Macaca mulatta: one gene and its partner. Each later gene encodes a partner of the first gene's protein in a complex. Links are inferred from orthologs where the notes say so. Each region holds a gene or a part of one and is shown on either strand. Other genes may lie near its edges.

The links. The genes of interacting proteins can lie anywhere in the genome.
Region 2: the proteins of POLR2L (region 1) and POLR1B are in contact, whole or in part, in a cryo-EM structure (PDB 7OBA), measured with the Homo sapiens proteins. The link is inferred for Macaca mulatta from reciprocal best matches to the Homo sapiens genes POLR2L and POLR1B. Residues at the interface, in NP_066951.1 of Homo sapiens: Met1, Ile2, Pro4, Arg6, Cys7, Phe8, Thr9, Cys10, Gly11, Trp18, Tyr21, Leu22, Leu25, Gln26, Glu31, Gly32, Arg42, Tyr43, Cys44, Arg46, Arg47, Met48, Leu50, Ala51, His52, Val53, Asp54, Leu55, Glu57, Lys58; in NP_061887.2 of Homo sapiens: Leu16, Leu19, Thr20, Asp21, Pro22, Tyr24, Gly25, Pro27, Ile157, His160, Glu161, Glu162, Ala163, Phe698, Leu701, Thr702, Arg713, Gln715, Thr716, Pro717, Gln718, Ser719, Leu721, Asp733, Asn734, Pro736, Asn740, Ala741, Ile742, Asn760.

Annotation. Positions count from the first base shown.
Region 1 is NC_133419.1:731,746-742,019, reverse strand, and holds POLR2L (DNA-directed RNA polymerases I, II, and III subunit RPABC5), read left to right. Parts: upstream 1-5,037; 5' UTR 5,038-5,064; coding exon 5,065-5,159; intron 5,160-7,068; coding exon 7,069-7,177; 3' UTR 7,178-7,450; downstream 7,451-10,274. Other genes in the region: CD151 antigen, read right to left, coding at 9,353-9,412, 9,516-9,602, 10,006-10,164, 10,274-10,274. UniProt on the Homo sapiens protein: DNA-dependent RNA polymerase catalyzes the transcription of DNA into RNA using the four ribonucleoside triphosphates as substrates.
Region 2 is NC_133418.1:22,649,172-22,658,806, reverse strand, and holds the end of POLR1B (DNA-directed RNA polymerase I subunit RPA2), read right to left. Parts: intron 9,492-9,635; coding exon 9,321-9,491; intron 8,102-9,320; coding exon 7,945-8,101; intron 4,276-7,944; coding exon 4,079-4,275; intron 3,277-4,078; coding exon 3,023-3,276; intron 2,010-3,022; coding exon 1,127-2,009; 3' UTR 579-1,126; downstream 1-578. UniProt on the Homo sapiens protein: Catalytic core component of RNA polymerase I (Pol I), a DNA-dependent RNA polymerase which synthesizes ribosomal RNA precursors using the four ribonucleoside triphosphates as substrates.

The sequences.
Region 1 (10,274 bases):
GAGCAGGGGCTGGGCTTGCTCCTGTTGCCAAGTTCAGGATTCACACTGGGTTGCTCAGACACAGGCAGGGGCCCGGGCAAGGCCACAGTGTCAGAGCTCAGCTGGGGAGGGTCCTTCCTCAACACTCCAGCCAGGGTGTTCTGGGACCCTGTCTCCAAAGTCCAGCCCCTCCCCACGGGAGCTCCGATTAGACGCTCAGGTGTGTTGTCAAAGTGTCCGGCTGGCAAGGCCCCTGGGCCGGCAAAGTGAGACCCAGAGGCAAGCCCACTGCTGCCCACCACAACCATCCAGCCCCGCCGGGCTGTGACATACCTGGGCTGGCCACAGGAAAGAGGCCAGGCGCTGCTCAGGGCCCCTGAAGGCTGACCAGTGGGCAGGCAGGCGGTGGGTGCGACCAAGGCAGCCCCAAGCTCTGCGGAAGGAAAGACGGGCAGAGTGGAGCCCTGGCTTCCATCCTCAGCACAGCCAGAGATGCTCCTAGACAAGGGCAGGGAACACCCACCTGGGGCCAGGTCCCTACAGGGCAGAGGGGCAGTCGGGGGTGGGCAGGGGGATACACCACCAGACTCGGGGGAGAAGACCACTGAGGAGTAGCCCCAACCAGGAGAGCTTTGAATCAATGACTGAGTCACCAAATTCTGCCCGTTCAGGCCTCTGAGACAGCCAGGCAGGGACACAGGCTCACTCACAGAGACACGGTGTGCAGAGAACACATGTTCAAAGACATATACTCACAGCACAGGGACATGCAGAGACACAGGCCAAGGCACACGCTTGCACCCACACAGACACGCAGCAGTGCCTCCCCGCTGGGGTCCCAGACCCCTGGTCCAGCCTGCTGTCTGCTTCCTGCCAGGCAGGAGCACTCCCACCCCACCCTGCCTTGGGCTCTGAGCAGACACCCCAGCTCAGGAAGGGGGCCTCGCGCCCTCCCCATGGAGCTGTCAGCAAGGACCCTCAAGGCCCTCCTCCACCATGGGTTGGGGAGTCTGTCCTCCTCCTGCCACTCATGGATTTCTGGCCAGGGAGAAGCCCCAAACTCACCTGGGCAGCCAAACGCAGTGCCCAGCACTCCCTGCCCTGCTGGCTCCACCCCGCAACATCTCGCCCCTCAGACCCGGCTCTCTGGAGTGAGGTAACTGTCCTTCCAGTAGCCCAAGGGCAGGAGGAACCATAGAGGCTCCAACCCAACCCTGGCTGAGCGAGGGCCCCGAGACAGACACCCAGAGCTCTGCAGGTTGGAAAACCCCAGGGGACTGAGCTGCAAGGAGACCTCGGACACCCACGAAGCCAGAGGGAGGTCCCCCCCCAAGAGAGGCCTGCCCATGCGACAGAGCAGCCTGTCTGCAGTAGCCTGGGTGCCAGGCCAGTGGAGCGGCCTCTCTGAGCCCCAGCAGCAGGGCAGCAGCTCAGTCCTGGCCCAGCCCAGAGCCTGGGGTCGCCACACAGCCCAGCAGGGGCAGCTCAGGACAGACAGCAGAGCCAAGCCCACACACCCTGACTCCCCAGGCTCACAGGCTCTGAGGTAGCTTTGAGGAAGCAGGGAGGCCCGCCAACACAAACAGCTTATGCTGTGGGCTTCCTGGCTGCCTCAGCCCCTGTGGGGCCCCAGTGCCCGTCCCAGGCCCTCACCCTGGGCGGGGGGGTCCCAAGCAAGCTAGCACCCCCTCATGCATACAAGGAGCAGGGACTGGGGGCTGCACACAGAGTCTGGGTGGGACTAGGCCTCTCCCACCCAAACCTGAGCCCTGGAGGCTGGAGACACCACTCTGATCCCCCCACCAGCCCCAGGGGAGGGACAGACCGTCCAGAGGTTCCCCAGTCTTTCCTCCCAGGACCACCGAGGCCAACCCCACACTCCAGGCCTTCCCCGTAACCCTCCCCTGCACTGTTGGTATTTCTCTTCTGGGAGTTGGGGGTGAAAGCAACACACTTAGGACCCTGGGTGGGGGGCACCTTCCCACAACCCCCAGGCTCCAGGAGCAGCCGCACCTCAGGTGCCATCCCACCACAGCCCGGGCCCTGACCCGTGCAACCTAGACCCCTACAGAACAGTCTGGGGGGCACATCAGGCCTGGGCAGCTGCATGGCAGGCAGTGACATTCCCAAATGCCACCAGCCCAGGCATGTGAGTGGTTAGGCTGGGGCCAGTTCAGCCTTGGCCCCATCTACAGACCCCACTGCTCAAAATGCTGATCTCCCAGGACTGCAGGGAGGACGCGGACGTTGTGGGTACGGCAAGCAGTGGCCTTGGCTGTGTGCACCGCTGAGGTGTCGGGCACGTGTGCTCGTGACGCCGTGTGCACCCATCCCACCCCACAACATCCTCAGGGTGAGCACACATCTGTCCCAGCCATGGACAGGGCCAAGGGGCACAGGTGTGGGGGCGAGGCTGCGGACACACACCATGATCACCCTCTCCCAGCCAAAGGCCATGCCTGGTCTCAGTGGCAGGAGGGATGCAGCCCTCCTGGTGGGCAGTTTCTGGTCCCACCTGAGCTTCACAGATAGGGAAACACGGGCTGTGATCCCAGACCAGAGTGCAAGTTCAGCTGAATCCCAGCGAGGGCGCAGCCCGTGCTCCCCCCTCCCAGCCCTCCCGGTCCCGTGGCTGGCCTGTTTCCAGGGCAACACCCGGGGTGGGAGGGGCTCAGCAGCTAAAACTTCAATCATGGGTTTCCCCTGGTCACTTGCCCTGAAGTGACCCCTCCTCTAGCAGGAAGCGCTTGGGGGAGCCCACCCTCCGCTCCCTGTGCCCTGTGCTGACCACAGGAGGCTCCACAACGCCCCCTTCTATGAAACCAGTGCCTCGCCTCCTGGCCCCATCCCAGGCCCTCCCCAGAAGCCAGGCCGGGTCTGTACCAACACTCCACACCCAGGAGAGAGGGGCCCCCACCGGCCCCTGCTGGCCAGCACAGTGCCCTGCCCCCCCAGGAGGCTCCCTCCCACCCCCGCTAGCCTGAGGAGGGTCGGGCCCAGGCCCCAGGCTGTTCCGCCCCACACGCTCTCAGGGGGACGCACCAGCCAGGGCTGAGGCAGGCCCAGGCTCCCCAGGGTCCTCAGGTATAGCCCCGTCAGGGCTGAGGACAGGCCTGGGCTCCCCAGCGGCCTCCACACACATGTGGTGGGGACTCGGGGGAGGGGCACAGAGCCTGAGGCTGGGGCAGTCTCCAGGTCTCAGGGGCTCTGCTAGGAAATGGAGGGATAGGAAGCTTACACACTTGGAATTCCAAGAATGTCAGCTTGGCCCAAGCCAGGATTTGGAGGGCAGCTTACTCTCCCCGCCCCGTGCTCCGAGTAAACAACTCCTGCAGGCAGGAACAGGCGCAGGACAGGCCCTGGACCCTCCTCCAGGAAGCCTCCGGGCCCCCACCCACTCCCCAGGGCCCACCCTGCTAACATCCCGGACCCCCCTTCCTCCCTCACCTCCACAGCCACCAGCAGCCTCTGCAGCTGAGCCTGGCTCTGACCCCAGGCCACCGTTACTCACGGCCCCTGTCCTGCCCCTCTGCCAGAGCAGGATGTGCGTCCACTCATCCTGGGGGGAGGGGGTCAGGGAAGGGAAGTGGCCTCCGCTCGTGGCTCTGCACGTGGCTGGGTGGGGTATGACAAACGCCACTGGGGAAGCTGCCCAGGGCCCTGGCCAGGTTGGGAGCAGAAATCCCAAGTGTGCAGTGGATCTGGCCAGCACCACTCTGGATCCAGAAAACCCTTCATCCTCCTCCCCTGCAACTAAGGCAGACCCAGCATTGCCCTGAGAAAGCGGCAGCTGATGCCTGGAACCCAGCACAGGTCCCACCCCAGCTGGAAGCCCCAGCCCAGAGCCCCCCCATGGGTGCCACTTTGCAGCCCACCCACCCCCCCACAGCCTACCTGGCACCTCCAAGGAGTCTTCTTTGCCTCCTACTGCACACCGACCCCCCATTTCCTCACCCCCACCCTAGGGGCACAGCAAGGAGGGTGCTGGTGCCAGCCCCCCCGCACTCCATCCGAGAGACACGGGCTCCCCCTCCCTCGTCCTCCGTAGGCCCTGAGCTCCAGGGCAAGGCAGAGCTGCGGCCTTCAGCGGGTCCTGCCAGTGCAGCCTCCGGGAGTCTGCCCAGGGGTCCCCTGTGCCGGGGTCTTCAAGGTTCAATTCAAAGAGCACCTCTTCCACGACGCCCTCCCCGACCTCCCTCCCGGGCCCCCTCTCCCCGTGCTCAGAGGCGCGTCTCAGCGTCGGGACGGCCAGCAGCCCAGCAGAGCCGGGACCGGGGAGGGCGCACCCCGACCCCCTTCCTGGGAAGGAGCGGAAAGAACGCGGACAGGAGGCCGGGGCGGGGAGCAGCCGGCGGGGGCCGTAACTGCGCGGCCGAGGCCAGGACGGCGCTCCTAGGGGCTGGGCCGCGTCCAGAATGGGACCCCCGAACTCGGCGCCGAGAGCCCCGGACACCCCGCGAGTAGAGGCGGAGGCGGAGGGACCCACTACCCGGCGGGGCCAAGAGGGGCAGCAGGAAGACCCGCCCCGGTCCGCGCCCGCCCTCTCCCCAAGCCCCCGCGCCGGACCCCACTTGTTGCTGCGTGTCGGCTCTAGGCTCGAACTCGCGCGCCCCGCTCGCGTCCGGCTCCAGCCGCTCCCGGTCGGACACCTCGGGCCGCGAGACCCTGGCCGCACGCCCCCACGACCCCCCGGGCGCTCTACCTGCGCCGCCGCCTCCCGCTCGCTTCGTCCGCTCCCTCCGCGCAGCTGTCAGTCAAGCGGACACGAGAAACGCGAACCGCCACCGCGGCTTTCGGCCCTGCTCAGACGCCGTAGCTCCGGGACGCACCAAGATGGTGGGCGGGGGTGTGTCGTCTGTTGCTGCCGCGGCCGTGCAGGCCCAGGAGCCCCGGGCCGCATGGGGAATCCCCATGGCGGCGGAAACTGCGGCCAGCTGCGCCGGGGCCAGTGTATGAACGGCTGGGGCAGCGGAGAACGAGCGGAGCCGGTCCCCCCGCGATAGTGGACGCGCCCGGGGCGGGGCCTGGGGGGAGTGCTTCCCGTGCGGCCGGACCGGGCCGGGCAGTCTGGGACGCGCCGCCGCCATGATCATTCCTGTACGGTGTTTCACTTGCGGCAAGATCGTCGGCAACAAGTGGGAGGCCTACCTGGGGCTGCTGCAGGCCGAGTACACTGAGGGGTGAGGCGCGGGCTGGGGCCGGGGCTGGGGGCTGAGTCCGCCCTGGGGTGCGGGCCGGGGCGGGAGGCGCAGCGCTGCCTGGGGCCGGCGCTCCATGAGCAGCTTCATACCCGGCCACTCCGGCCCAGCTCTGTGATCTGCTTTCGGGAGAACATTGTCCCCTGAAGTCTGGGGAGAGAACGGAGTTGGGCTTCAAACCAGTGGTGTCCTGGGGATTCTAGGTGGCCTGGCGGGTGGCAGGCGTCTTGTCACCCGCAGTAAAGCCCTTGGTCTCCGTCCTAATCTCTCGTCTCTGCTCCCAGACCCACCCCATGTCCTGCAAACCTCGCTGCAGGACGGGCGGGCGCGGCGGCTCACGCCTGTAATCCCAGAAGTTTGGGAAGCCGAGGCGAGAGGCTTGCTTGAGCCCAGGAGGTCGAGACCAGCCTGGACAACCTGGGGAGACCCTGATCTCCAGAAATTTTTTCTTTTTTTTTTTTTTTTTGGGGACGGAGTCTCGCTCTGTCGCCCAGGCTGGAGTGCAGCGGCGCGATCTCGGCTCAGTGCAACCTCTGCTTCCTGGGCTCCAGGAATTCTCCCCAGTCGCCGGGACTACAGGCGTGTCCACGCCCGGCTCATTTTTGTATTTTTAGTAGAGATAGGAGTTCGCCATGTTGGCCAGGCTGGTCTCGAACTCCTGACCTCAGGTGATCCACCTGCCTCGGCCTCCTGGAGTGCTGAGATGACAGGTGTGAGCCACCGCCCCTGGCCCTCTTATCTTTTTAATTCCCCGGACTTGGTGGTGCACACCTGTGGTCCCAGCTACTTGGAAGGCTGAGGCGAGAGAATCGCTTGAGGCTGGGAGGCAGGTGAAGATTTCAGTGAGCCGAGATCACGCCACTGCACTCCAGCCTGGATGAGAGAGTGAAACTCCGTGTCACGCACACACACACACACACACACACACACAGAAAAAGAAATGCAGGGCAGACTTGCTGACCACCCTCATCATCGGGCTTTGTGGGGGAGGCATCCTTCTCCTGTGCTTGTCCCTCGGTGCTGCTGTCACCACCGTGCCTGAGTCTTGGTGCCCCTGCTGGAGTCTGACCCTTGCCTGCTGAGTCCTGGTCACATGTGAAACCCCAGGCTCGTGTGTGCCAGCCTGCCATAGGCTCTCAGTGCAGCTTGCTGGACGAATGAGTAAAGCGAGTGGGCTGCCAGAGTGAGTGGCTGGTGGCCTGTCCAGACCCTTTCCCAGGGATATGAACTGCAGGGGCCTCCCATGTGGCCTCCCCTTTCCCAAGCTTCTCTCTCTGCACATTGGAGCCATCAGTGTGGGAGTTTTCTGGAAGTATTGATGGTGACTGGACCTTGGTCCCAGGGAAATTAAAGCTTCTAATTGGCTTGGGAAATGGGAGAGGTGGCTCCCTGGAGAAGCAGTCTCTCCCTGATTGAAGGAAGCAGAGGTGAGAAAAGACGCCACAGTGGCAGAGTAGGGCTTGCTCTGGGGTGGGGGATGAACCAGCTAAGGGCAGGCCCCTGGAGAGCTACCCTGCTGTGGCTGGTGCGGGATGAGGGGAGCTGCGCATCAGGACCTCGGTGGCCTTGGTTTTCTATGCTCCCCCAATTACCTCTAGTTTTCGTTTCATTTATATTTCTTACATATGTTAGACACACATATGTACAGCCAGAGTAGGTGGGAGAGAAGGCTCCTCACGCTCCACCCAGGGATCTGGGCATTGCCAGGTTACTCCAACCAGGATCATACCCCTAGGTCTCTACTTCTCATCCAGGTGAATGTGTTCGCCTTGCCGGTAGCAGGGGAGTGAGGCCAGCAGGCAGTGAGAGGCGGCCTGGATGTGGGCTCCAGGCCTGTGCAGACCGTGGAGAACTCAGCTGGCCTCTCTGTTCCTCCCCTCGCTTGACACAGGGATGCGCTGGACGCCCTGGGCCTGAAGCGCTACTGCTGCCGCCGGATGCTGCTGGCCCACGTGGACCTGATCGAGAAGCTGCTCAATTATGCACCCCTGGAGAAGTGACCAGGCTGGAATCCGCCTACCTGCCATGCTGACCATGGGCCATGAGCATCCTGCCCCAAGTTCACAAGGCTGAGGCATCCAGGAGCTGGCGCAATGCCTCGCCACAGCGTGTGTGTGTCCCATCCCCCACTCTGGAAGGAACAATCCAGTAAAGGTCTTTCAGAACTACCAAGGTCCCAGCCCTCACTAGGATGTCAGGGGCCAGGACTAGGCCCAGCTCTCACACCGCGGCAGCCCAGGGAAGCCGACTGGGCCATGAATTCTCCTAGCCCTGGGGCCAGCCTGTTCCACAGGTACCCCTGCAGGAGGTGCTGCCAGGAGAGCCTTCCATCTCAGGGCTGAGGTTCCCTCCTTCTGGGTGCTCTTCAGACTGAGCAGAGGCTCCTGTACTCTCTCTCTTGGAATCTGAAGAGCCAGATTTAGGCCAGGCACGGTGGCTCACCCCTATAATCCCAGCACTTTGGGAGGCCAAGGCGGGTGGATCACGAGGTCAGGAGATTGAGGCCATGCTGGCTAACACGGTGAAACCCCGTCTCTACTAAACATACAAAAAAAAAAAAAACAGCCAGGTGAGGTGCCGGGCGCCTGTAGTCCCAGCTACTCGGGAGGCTGAGGCAGGAGAACTGCTTGAACCCGGGAGGGGGAGCTTGCAGTGAGCCGAGATTGCGCCACTCACTCCAGCCTGGGTGACAGTGAGACTCCATCTCAAAAAAAAAGAAAAAAAAGAACCAGATCGTCTGGGGCCCAGTCTTTGCTATGGTCACGGATGCCAGCACCTGCTGGCCCCTGCCCACTGCTGGCTGTCCCTGAGGGTCCCACCCGAGTCTAGCAGGGAGGGCAGGCCTTAAGACACCCCTAGCTGGCTTGGGAGGCGGCCCTAAGGAGGCCCTGCTGTCCAGGCAGTGCTGCCAGCAAGCACCCCAGGTCAGATGGCCCTGCTGCTGAGATACCTGGCGTGGTGCCCTCTGGTGGGGGAGAATGGGTCTGCCTGAGGGTCTTCAGTTCTGAGCCTTAGGGACAGGAGCCTGGGCAGTGGGGGGTACAATCAGTGACTGAACCCTGGCTCCCGTCTCCAGGGTACCTCTGCCAGACACCAGGCTCTGGTATCTCCCATCCGTGCCCCCAGCAGGGCCTATAGGCTCTACCATGTAAACCCCCTCACCCTACTGCCCCCACCCATCTGCCTGACGCCTCTTACCTGGGCACAGCCCCCAGTGTGCACCCTTCCCATGTCTGCTCCCCCCCATGACCAGAAGGGTCTTTGGAAACCATTTTTCCTCTCCCCCAGGGGCTCTGAACACACCACCATCTCACCATTTAGAAACATGATCAGTTCTTTCTGCTGTGAGACCTGTGCTTGGCTGTCCCTGGCATCAGACCTCCCTTCCCTGGAGCCCCATGGGGGCTGTGTCCTGGCTCTGCCCTTCTTTGTCCTGACACTGCAAGGAGGGGTCTGTCTACCCTGCTGGACGTGATGGGCCCTGAGAACAGACCATCTCACCAGCACAGCGGGCTCGTCCATCTGCCCCAGAAGTGTTTATTGAGCACCTGTATGTGGCAGGGATGATTGTAGGCATCTGGGTACAGCAGTGAACAAAACTGGGAGGCCCCTGCCCCACACAGGCACATGGATGGGGCAGTGCACAGTGACCATGTGGCATTTCGGGTGGTGGTGACCGCGGTGGGGAAGACAGCAGGGGCTCTGAGGGAGACGAGGCCTGGGTGGGGAGGGGCAGAGGCCCAGGCCCAAGGGTCAGACCTTACTCAGTTTCTCTGACTGGGATGGGGCCATGTGGCTGCAAGGCAAAGCCCCAATCCCTGAAGGGCCTGGGGTGTGAAGGGCTTCTCCCCCTGCTGGGAACACTCGGCCTTGCCCTACTCAGCAAGGCCCCTTCCAGCCTGCATCTGACCACCAGGCAGAATGTGTTCAGGCAGCCCCACAAAACACCCCCGATACCGTCGTCCCGCCAGCCCCCCTTACTTCCCTGCTGGGCTTTGGTGTGCAGCGAAAGGCACTTGAAGCTGCCTCTGGGGTTGGGGTCCCCAGAGGTTATGGTGATGGCACAGGGTGGGTGTCATCAGGGAGCCCAACCCCTGGCACTTAGTAGTCTCAGCTCAGTAGTTGGGTGCAGCAGCAGCAAGGCACAGAGAGCCGCAGCCAAGCCCAGGGCAGGGTCAGTAGTGCTCCAGCTTGAGGCTCCTGTATAGGCAGCATGTGAAGATCATGCCAAAGACCTGTGTGCAGAGCCAGGCGGGCATAAGTAGACGCCGTGGGGCCAGCAACCACCGCCCTGCCTCATGTCCCCGACAAAATACCCGTCACCCCGCGTGCCCTCACCTGCACACAGGCAATGCCGGTCCCCACAGCCCCAATGACCCTGAGGTGCTCCTGGATGAAGGTCTCCAACTTGGTGATGCAGCCGCCCTGCGGGGCGCAGATGGGTGCTGAAGGTGGGCCCAGGGGGCACTTCCCACTGGCCCCCACCACCTCCAGGGTGTGGCCATGCCCACCCCTAGCACCTACGCAGCCAGGCCACTGACAGCTCAGCCAGCCACTGGGCTGCCCACCCACCACCTCCTAAGATACCGGAGGCGTGGTCTCACTGCCCACATCTGGCCACTGGGCTGCCCACCCACCTCCCGTAGATGTTGGAGGCGTGGTCTCACTGCCCACATCCGGCCACTGGGGTGACCCACCTCCTCATAGATACTGGGGTGCCCCCATACCTTCTCATAGATACTGGAGGCCCCCATACCTTCTCATAGATACTGGAGGCCCCCCACACTTCCTCATAGATACTGGAGGTATGGTTCCGCTGCCCACCCACCTCCACCTTGTAGATGTTGGAGGCATGGTCCCGCTGCCCACAACCAGCCACCACCGTCTTGCAGCAGCTGTCGGGGACGACGCGGCCACCGGCCTCCCCTGAGCGGATCCACTCACTGTCCCGCCAGTCCTGTGAGTTGTTGCTGCCACAGCAGTGGAACTGCATCAAGAACAAGGCTCAGGGTGAGACCTGGGACCAGAGGCTCCTGCACAGGTCCAGGGAGGCCCTGGGGATGCATGCACCCTCCCAGCACCACCCACCCACCCACC
Region 2 (9,635 bases), on another chromosome or scaffold:
CTAAATATAAAATACTCACTGGAGGCCAGGCGCAGTGGCTCACACCTGTAATCCCAGCACTTTGGGAGGCAAAGGTGGGTGGATCACTTGAGGTCAAGGTCTTTAAGACAAGGTCTTCCTACAGTACCCAGGCTGGCCTTGAACTCCTGCACTTAAATGATCCTCCCACCTTAGCCTCTCAAATAGCAGGGACTACAGATGCATAGCACCATGCCTGGCTTCCAAAATGGATGAATCTTATTTCACTATCCTAAGTGAAATAAGCCAGTCGGAGGACAAATATTGCATGATACCACTATATGAGATATCTATAATAGTCAAACTTGTAGAAACAGGGTAGAAGGGTGGTTGCTAGGGGCTAGGGAAATGGAGAGTTGTTCAACAGGTATAAAGCTTCAGTTATGCAAGACAAGCAAGGTCTAAAGATCTGTTGTACAACATGGTGCCTATAATTAACAATAGTGTATTGTACACTTAAAGATTTGTTAAGAGGGTAGGTCTTGAGTTACGTGTTCTTACCACAGAAAACAAAACAAAAACTCAACAGCAACCAAAAAGCAAAAAACAAAGGGGCAGGAGGAAACTTGTGGAGATGACAGATATGTTTATTACCCTGATTGTGGTGATGGTATCAAAGGTGTGTACATATAGTCTAACCCATCAAACTGTATTCATTACATATGTAACAACTGTACTTCTATAAAGCTGGCAAAAAACACTGTAACTGTTTGTTTTTACTTCAATGTTGCTATAAGAAAATATAAAATTACGTTACAGCTTGCATTCTATTTGTATAGTACTGTCCTGCTCAAGATGGATTAACAGGTGTGTGACAGTCACTGCCTGCTGAAAGCAGGGTGTAGGGAACCTGTATGTTCTTCCATTTATCAATATTTCATATTTTGAGAAGACATGAGATTTTTGAACAAATATACAGAAAATCATTGTCAACAGTTAATCTACCAGCGAGATTCACACTTTGCATTCTTGGTTTTCAGATCTTGGTTGAGAGTTCTAACACCCTTGAAAAATCTCAAGAGTAACCTGGTAATAATATCTTCATTGAACTAAAATTACGTTTTGTTTTAATCTGATAGGCCTCCTAATCCAAAAGGTCAACATCAAGTTAAACAACATCCAGTTTCACTTTGATGTTCATAGCTGCCAATTCAGCTACAAAATACCGAAAAACATAAGGCACAGAAACAGTATCGATAGTGTCACTGCGATTACACAGAGTACAGTTGTATTTTCTGTTGCGCATGGCAGACCAAGAAGGGGGTGGCTTCTCCAACAGTGGAGAGAGTAAACTGCCACACTTCACACACACGTGGGCTACTGACCGATCCGAGCAGTTGAAGAGGCGGTCATGAAGGAGAAAAGATGTACCGTGAGCTAAAAGCGCATCCCGTTCCATCTCCCCAAAACGGATTCCACCCTGGACATTTCTTCCCCCAATAGGCTGGTTGGTGACTCTGTCTCGGGCCCCAGTTGTCCTTACTTGAAATTTGTCTGAGACCATGTGGCGTAAGCGCTGATAATAAACCACTCCTATGAAGATGTCTGCTTCCAGTTCTAGCCCACTGATGCCACTATATAACCTCTCGGTGCCATAGAAATTGTAGCCAGCAGCCTTTAACATCTCACCAAAGTATTCTAAGGCCGAGTTCTCCTCTGAGAAGATGAAGGGTGTAGCATCATGGCAGAGACCATGCAAAGCTGCAGACTTCCCAGCCATACTCTCAATTAACATCCCGATGGTCATGCGGGATGGAAAACCATGGGGATTGAACAGAATGTCTGGGACCATCCCACTCTCAGTAAAAGGCATGTCCTCAGCTGGCCACAATCTGCTCAAAATGCCCTTCTGCCCATGACGACTGGCAAATTTATCTCCGATAGTTGGGTTCCGAGGCACTCTCATAGTGATGCAAACACACTTGAATTTTCCACTCCCAGTGTCATTACTGCACACTTTGATGTTATCCACAACACAATTTTCTTTACTCCTAGGAAAAAGTAAACTCTGTAAGGTCAACCTATTTGTTTAAACTTATAGAGGTAAGTTTCATTGACATAATTAGTGCTTCATAAAAGATACTTGTAAAACACATTTTTTTTTTTTTTTTATGAGACAGGGTCTCACTCTGTTGCCCAGGCTGGAGAGGGGTGGTGTGATTACAGCTCACTGCAGCCTTGACTTTCCAGGTTCAAGGAATCCTCCCACCTTAGCCGCCTCAGTAGCTGGGACTACAGGTACATGCCACTAGGCTTGGCTAATTTTTAAATTTTTTGTAGAGACAGGGTCCCACTACATTGCCCAGATTGATCTTGAACTTCTGGGCTTAAGGGAGCCTCCCATTTTGGTCTCCCAAATTGTCGGGTTGCAGGTGTGAACTACTGTGCCTGGCCTGCAAAACTCATTCTTACCTTTATTCTCCAATACAAACAGAGATGGTATGAATAGAGCTATTGGTGATATTCACTACAGAATTATGTTCATCTGAAAGAAAACTAGCAACAAAGGCAACTGAAAAGTTATTATGAAGGTCTACTGAAATAAATTATATTGTAAAATAAGCTAAAATAAGACATTTCTAATAAGAGGTATGAGCTCAACATTTTGGCTAGGAAACATTGCTAACATTGTATATGATAAAGACGACAAAGTTTGTATAATACAGTTTTTAAAAAAAGCACAAATAGACCAGGCACAGTGGCTCACACCTGTAATCCTAGCACTTTGGGAGGCTGAAGCAGGTGGATCACTTGAGCCCAGGAGTTCGAGACCCTCCTGGGCAACATGGTGAAACCATCTCTACTAAAAATACAAAAAATTAGCTGGGCATGGTGGTACGTGCCTGTAGTCCCAGCTACTTGAAGGCTGAGGTGAGAGGATTGCTTGAGCCGGGAGGTGGAGGTTGTAGGGAGTGAGATCACTCCACTGCACTCCAGCCTGGCTAACACACTGAGACCCTATCTCAAAAAACAAACAAAAACCAGCTTGGATACCCAAACTTACTTATAGTACATCACAAAACTTTCCCCAGTGTTGAGGTTTAGGTAGCTGTAATATGGATCTCCATACTGCAGTTTTGCTCCTATAAACGGCAATCCATCGTCATCTAACTTCTGCAAAATCCGTGGGTCACCAGGTTTGATTCCAAACACCAGGCTACTATCTCCTTGTTTAATTTTTTCAGAGAGGTCTATGAACTCAGACTTGTAGACACTTCCATGGGCAAAGCCTCGTTCCCAAGAGGCCTTATTCACAATCTGTGAAGTAAAAGAATCGTTAATTTAAAAGACTGAGGCCAAGTGAGGATTTTCAAAATAAAACTAGGTGGGACTATAATACTTGGTTTAGGATAACTGGCATCACATTTTAACTCTCCTCACATTTTCCAAATCACTGATACTAACTACAAAAATCCAGACATGGCCAGGCACAGTGGCTCATGCCTGTAATTCCAGCACTTTGGAAGGCCAAGGCAGGCTGATCACTTGAGGTCAGGAGTTAGAGACCAGCCTAGCCAACATGGTGAAACTCCATCTCTACTAAAAATAAAAAATCAGCCAGGCGTGGTGGCGGGTGCCTATAGTCCCAGCTACTCGAGAGGCTGAGGCAGGAGAATTGCTTGAACCCAGAAGGCAGAGGTTGTAGTGAGCCAAGATCATGCCACTGCACTCCAGCCTGGACAATAGAGCAAGACTCTGGCTCAAAAAAAACACAAAAAACAAAAAACACCAAGAAAAACAAAAACCCAGGCACACAGAAATAGCTTAAAATCTAATCATACTTAAATATAAAAGGTAGATATATCCAAAACCAAACTCTTCAAAATTTACTCATAATATGCACTCAAATATGCAAGATATATGTGTATCTGAATATTTAGTGGATACTCCTCAAGGCTTGCCCACTTTCAACTTAGACCAAGAACTAATCATTTCATAGAACATCATGTGCCAAATACCAGGTACTTGGGTACACAAAAATATTCCTTCAGTGATTTCACAGTAAACAAAAGAGTTAAAAGATAAAAAGATTGGAACAACATTTCCCAGTAAAACTTACCATGGCATCTTCCATATCATAGCCAGTGTAAGAAATCACGGCAACGATGGCATTGGTCCCAATTGGATAGTTATCCATGTCATAATAATCATACATGGAGGGTCTCACCAAGGGACTCTGAGGAGTCTGAAGACGATACAGTTTGTTATCTGATCGGTCTTGATAAGTGAGAAGTGGAAAGCCCATAGTTTGCTTACCTACACAGAGAAAAACATCTTAGCATTTTCTGCTTCTTTCATCTTGATTATAGGTGTGATACACAACACTGGAAACAACTAAATATTCATCAGAGGAGAATGAATAAATAATCATAGTAGTTATGCTTACTTTAGACTAATACATAAGCTGTGAAAATGAAGTAAACCTAAATGTATCAATGTGACCAGACCAGGAAAACCGTGCTGAGCGGGAGAAAGTGCAGACTGACATTTAATGTAAGATTTATGTGCATTTGCAACACGCCCCACACAATTCTATACCTAGTTTATGGATACATGTATGATGTAATAAAAGCTTTACAAGGGGACAGAAAGGAAGCACACGAATTACAGGATACCACTACTGGGGGGAGAAAAGGGGACAGTAATTATTATGAATTAGATTACTTTCTTACAGCGGAAGATGTATTTAATTCTAGGTAGTAGAGTATGGGGTGAGATTCCTCTGTGTACTACCTCACAGTATAATCATTTCCGAACAAAATGATTTTAAAATATAAATACATACAAGTGAAAATTTTTTTAAAAAATTATAAACTTAGAGCTTCCAGTAATAAAGGGCTACTCTTACAAGACCACCCTCAACACATACGTATAAGATGCAGAAAAAAGGCCCCAACTACACATATAGCACTGGAGAGTAACCAAAAGCTGTCAGAAGCTGAGGAAGAATTTTTACTTGGATGAAAGGAACCACACTGGGTGAATAAGTATTTATGTATATATTTTTGCCTTATGGCCCAGTGTGGCAGCCACAACTTAGATAGAAACCCACAGTCTTACTGGCTTGAAGAACCAAGAAATAGAGTTCTGAGCATGACAACAATTGGGAAAGGGGAATGTTTCAGAAATGAGAGAACAAAGGGAGACCCTTAAAATCAGCATGTAAAATTGGGTCCCAATCTTTGGTGGACTCCTGAACTATGCATGCATGGGACAGATCAAAGCAGCCCACCTAAGGCTGAAGAATGTACTTCAACTGCCATGTTCACCAAGTTAAGTACCAGTGAAAACTAAAAACCAATCCTCTTCCCCTGGAGAATTTTTGGTGACATGCACTGAGCCAGGTGATGGACTGTGTATTAACAAGGAAAGACGTAAAATGAAAAACATTAAAATGTAATTGAAGGCCAAACACCACACTAAAAACAAACAAAACCAATCCTCTTCAGAGGACCCTAACAGGATCCAGGGTTTAAAACATATTCCTCACAACGTTCATAATACAATCCAGTATTACTGGGCATACAAATGAATGGTGAAACTTGACTTATACTCAAGGAGACTGATCCTGAGATGACCCAGACATTGGAATCTGCAGATAATGACTTTACAACACCCATCATATAAAACTATGCTAAAAATATAAAGGAAAACATGCCCACAATGAAGATAAGAAATCTTAGAGAAAAGAGAAACTATAAAAAAAGAAACAAGTCAGGCCAGGCGCAGTGGCTCACACCTGTAATCCCAGCACTTTTGGGAGGCTGAGGCGGGCAGATCACTTGAGGTCAGGAGTTTGAGACCAGCCTGAACAACATGATAAAACCCTGTCTCTACTAAAAATACAAAAAATTAGCTGGGCATGGTGGCACATGCCTGTAATCTCAGCTACTCAGAAGGTGAAGGCAGAAGAATCGCTTGAACTGGGGAGGCAGAGGTTGCAGTGAGCCAAGATCATGCCACTGCACTCCAGGTGGGTGACACAGCGATACCCTGTCTCAAAAAAAGAAAAAAAAAAAAAAGAAACAAGTGGAAGTGCTGGACTTGAAAATACAGTCATACACTGCATAACAATGTTTTAGTCAATGTAGGATGGCATATATACTATGGTGATCCCACATTTTTACTGTATCTTTTCTATATTTAGCTACACAAATCCTTGCCATTGTCTTACAGCTGTCGACAGCACACAGTACAGTTATATGCCACCCAGGTTTGTAGCCTAGGAACAACAGGCTATACCATATATTAGGTGTGTAGTAGTCTCTGCCATCTAGGTTTATGTAAGTTCACTGTATGATGTTCACACTACGACAAAATCACATACGACTCCCTTCTCCAAATGTATCCCTGTCGTTAAGGGTATATGACTGTAGGCGAAAATTCAGTAGAAGACAGAATGAAAAGTGACTGTGATAATAGGTCAATAAAAATAATTCAATCTGGGCCAGGCACAGTGGCTCACACCTGTAACCCCAGCGTTTTTGGGAGGCTGAGGCAGGCAGATCACTTGAGGTCAGGAGTTCAAAACCAGCCAGGCCAACATGGTGAAACCCCATCTCTACTAAAACACAAAAATTAGCTGGGCATGGTGATGTGTGCCTGCAATCCCAGCTACTCGGGAGGCTGAGGCAGGAGAATTTATTGAACATGGGAGGCAGAGGTTGCAATGAGCCGAGATCGCACCACTGCACTCCAGCCTAGGTAACAAAGTGAGACTCCATCTTAGGGAAAAAAAAAAAAAAAAAAAGAAATTAAAAGATCCAATCTGAAGAAAATAAAGAAAAAAAGAGAACAGAAACTCAATGTCTTATGGAACAATATCAAAAGGTTTAAATATATGAGTAACTGATATCTCAGAAGGGGAGGAAAGAGAGAAAAGGGTAGGAGCAATGTTTTTAAAAATAATGACAGAAGAGTTTAGCAATTTAATTTAAAAACAAAAAAACAAAAAAACAAATTTGGGGCCGGGCGCGGTGGCTCACGCCTGTAATCCAGCACTTTGGGAGGCCAAAGTGGGCAGATCACCTGAGGTCAGGAGTTCAAGACCAGCCTGGCCAACATGGTGAAATCCCGTCTCTACTAAAAATACAAAAATTAGCTGGGTATGGTGGTGAGTGCCTGTAGTCCCAGCTACTTGGGAGGCTGAGGCAGAAGAATCACTTAAACCCAGGAGGCAGAGGTTGCAGGGAGCCGAGATCATACCACTGCACTCCAGCCTAGGCGATGGAGCAACACTCTGTCTCAAAAAAAAAAAAAAAAAAAAAGAAACACTATATTCAGAAGACTGCTGCTTTCTAACTAGAAATGACAGAGACAAAGAAAAGCCAGTGTAACAACAACTTTTAAGTGCTGGAAGAAAAAGAACTGTCAACTCAGAACTGTATACCCAGTGAAAGATTCCTTCAAGTGAAGTAAAATAAAGACATTTTCAGATAAATGAAAACCAACAGAATTTGTGGCCAGCAACCTGCAATATAAAAAAATGCTAAAGGAAGATTATCAGGCTGAAGGAAAACTGTAAGCAATGAAAACCTGAATCTTGCAACAGGAATGAAGAGAACTGGAAGTGATAAATACGTGGGTGACTATGATTGCTTGTATTCTTCAAAAAATCAAGTAATAAGACCCCAGGCACACCCAAATCTATGGACATTCTATACCTTTTTCTTCAAAAATGTCAATGTCAAAGACACAGAATGGTTAAAGATCTGTCATAAATTACAGGAGACTAAATAGACATGCCAACTAAATACAATGAGTGATCCTGGACTGGTTGCTTGTGGCACAGAAAAAAAAAAAACTTGCCATAAGCCATATTTTTGGAACAAATGGTCAGCATATGTAAATGAGGACTACAAAAGACTATGCTAGTATCAAGTTTACTTTCCTGATTGTGACTATAACATCGTCCCTCTTCCTTACCCATCTGGCACTGGTACATGTTCCGTGGACTCTGGTTGTGGTCAGAGAAAGGGATGAAGTTGGCAATCACACTCAGCAGGCTGTGTGGAAAGAGTTCCTGGTGTGTGGTAACTCCAGCAAAAACCTCATCCTCAAAGATAGCGACATTCATGAAGATCTGGAAGAGCAGATGTCCAAGGCACAAAATAACTGCAACTGCTTACACATTAACTCTTACCATTTCTCAGAGTTCAGCACTCAAAGACTCAAGAGAAAACCTTCCCCGCCCAGCATCATGAGTGCTGAAGGGATCAACTGGGAAGCACAGGGAAGTGACCACTTAGAAATACCACTTGCTTTACATATTCCACTCTAAATCTACCCCAGACCAATTGTGAAGGGGAATAGGAAGAAAAAATTTTAAGTAGCACAAAGCCTATAACTTTGCAACTGCAAATATGTAGGCAAAGACTGAGTGTGCATCTAATGGAATGTTTTCACTTCGCCAGCTGAGGCAGAGTCAGGTACAAAGGAGCTCTGGGAGCCAGACAGGATGGAAGGCAGGTAATGTGACCACCAACCCTCTCAGGTTCTTGTGGAGTGAGATCAGACATGGGAACTGCTTTGTGCTGGTCACGGAGGAGGTGGTAAGTCTGACTTTCTTTCAAATGTCCAACTGTTATTGTAACACTAACAACCCTTTTAATGTGGGGAAAAGAAAGAGATCAGCCTGTTACTGTGTCTATATAGAAAGAAGTAGACATAAGAGACTCCATTTTGTTCTGTATTTGAGATGCTGTTAGTCTGTGACCCTACCCCCAACCTTGTCCTTGCAAGAGACATGTGCTGTGGTAACTCAAGGTTTAATGGATTTTGGGCGTGCAGGGTGTGACTTTGTTCCTAGATAAGCTAGGTATTGTCTAAGGTTTCTCCCCATGTGATAGACTGAAACTATGCTGCCAAAAGGTTTAGGGAGATGTCTGCATATGCATCTCACGGCACAGCTTTGTCCTTTGAACTTATTCATGTCACAGAGGTTTTTGTTCATATGTCTTACTGCCGATTTCCTCTTTTTTCTTTGTTTATATTGTCCTGCCACTCCCCTGTCTTTAAGATGGTAAAGATACTTATCAATAAATACTAAGGGAACTCAGAGACCGGGGCGGCGTGGGTCCTCTGTAAGCTGAGCGCCGGTCCCCTGGGCCCCGCTTTTCTTTCTCTATACTTTGTCTCTGTGTCTTATTTCTTTTCTCAAGTCTCTCGTTCCACCTAACGAGAAACACCCACAGGTGTGGAGGGGCAGGCCACCCCTTCATTTAAAAAGGAAGAGTTAAGTCTCTGAAAGTTGTATACTATACAAACAAGCACATACACTCATCCATCACACATGTATTTACCTGTTCCATAGTTCCAATTAGCTCTTCTTTGCCCAATTCCAAGTTCTGCACAGGCCGTACCAGTCTACAAGGAGTAGTAAAAAGGAACAATCCTGGGTATAGACTTGGTTTTCCTGTCATGGGTATGAGGACCACTTCCATCCAGGGAGGAATTCTTTTCTCTCTCAACACCTGTTTTCAACAAAAACAGAGTTTAACAAACCTGTCCCACGGCCATGGCTGTCGCTGCCAGTCTTATGCCCCATGGAATACTACTCATCCACACTCAGCCATGGTAAAAGCCCTACTTCCTTGGGTGCTCACCCCAGCTAGCAG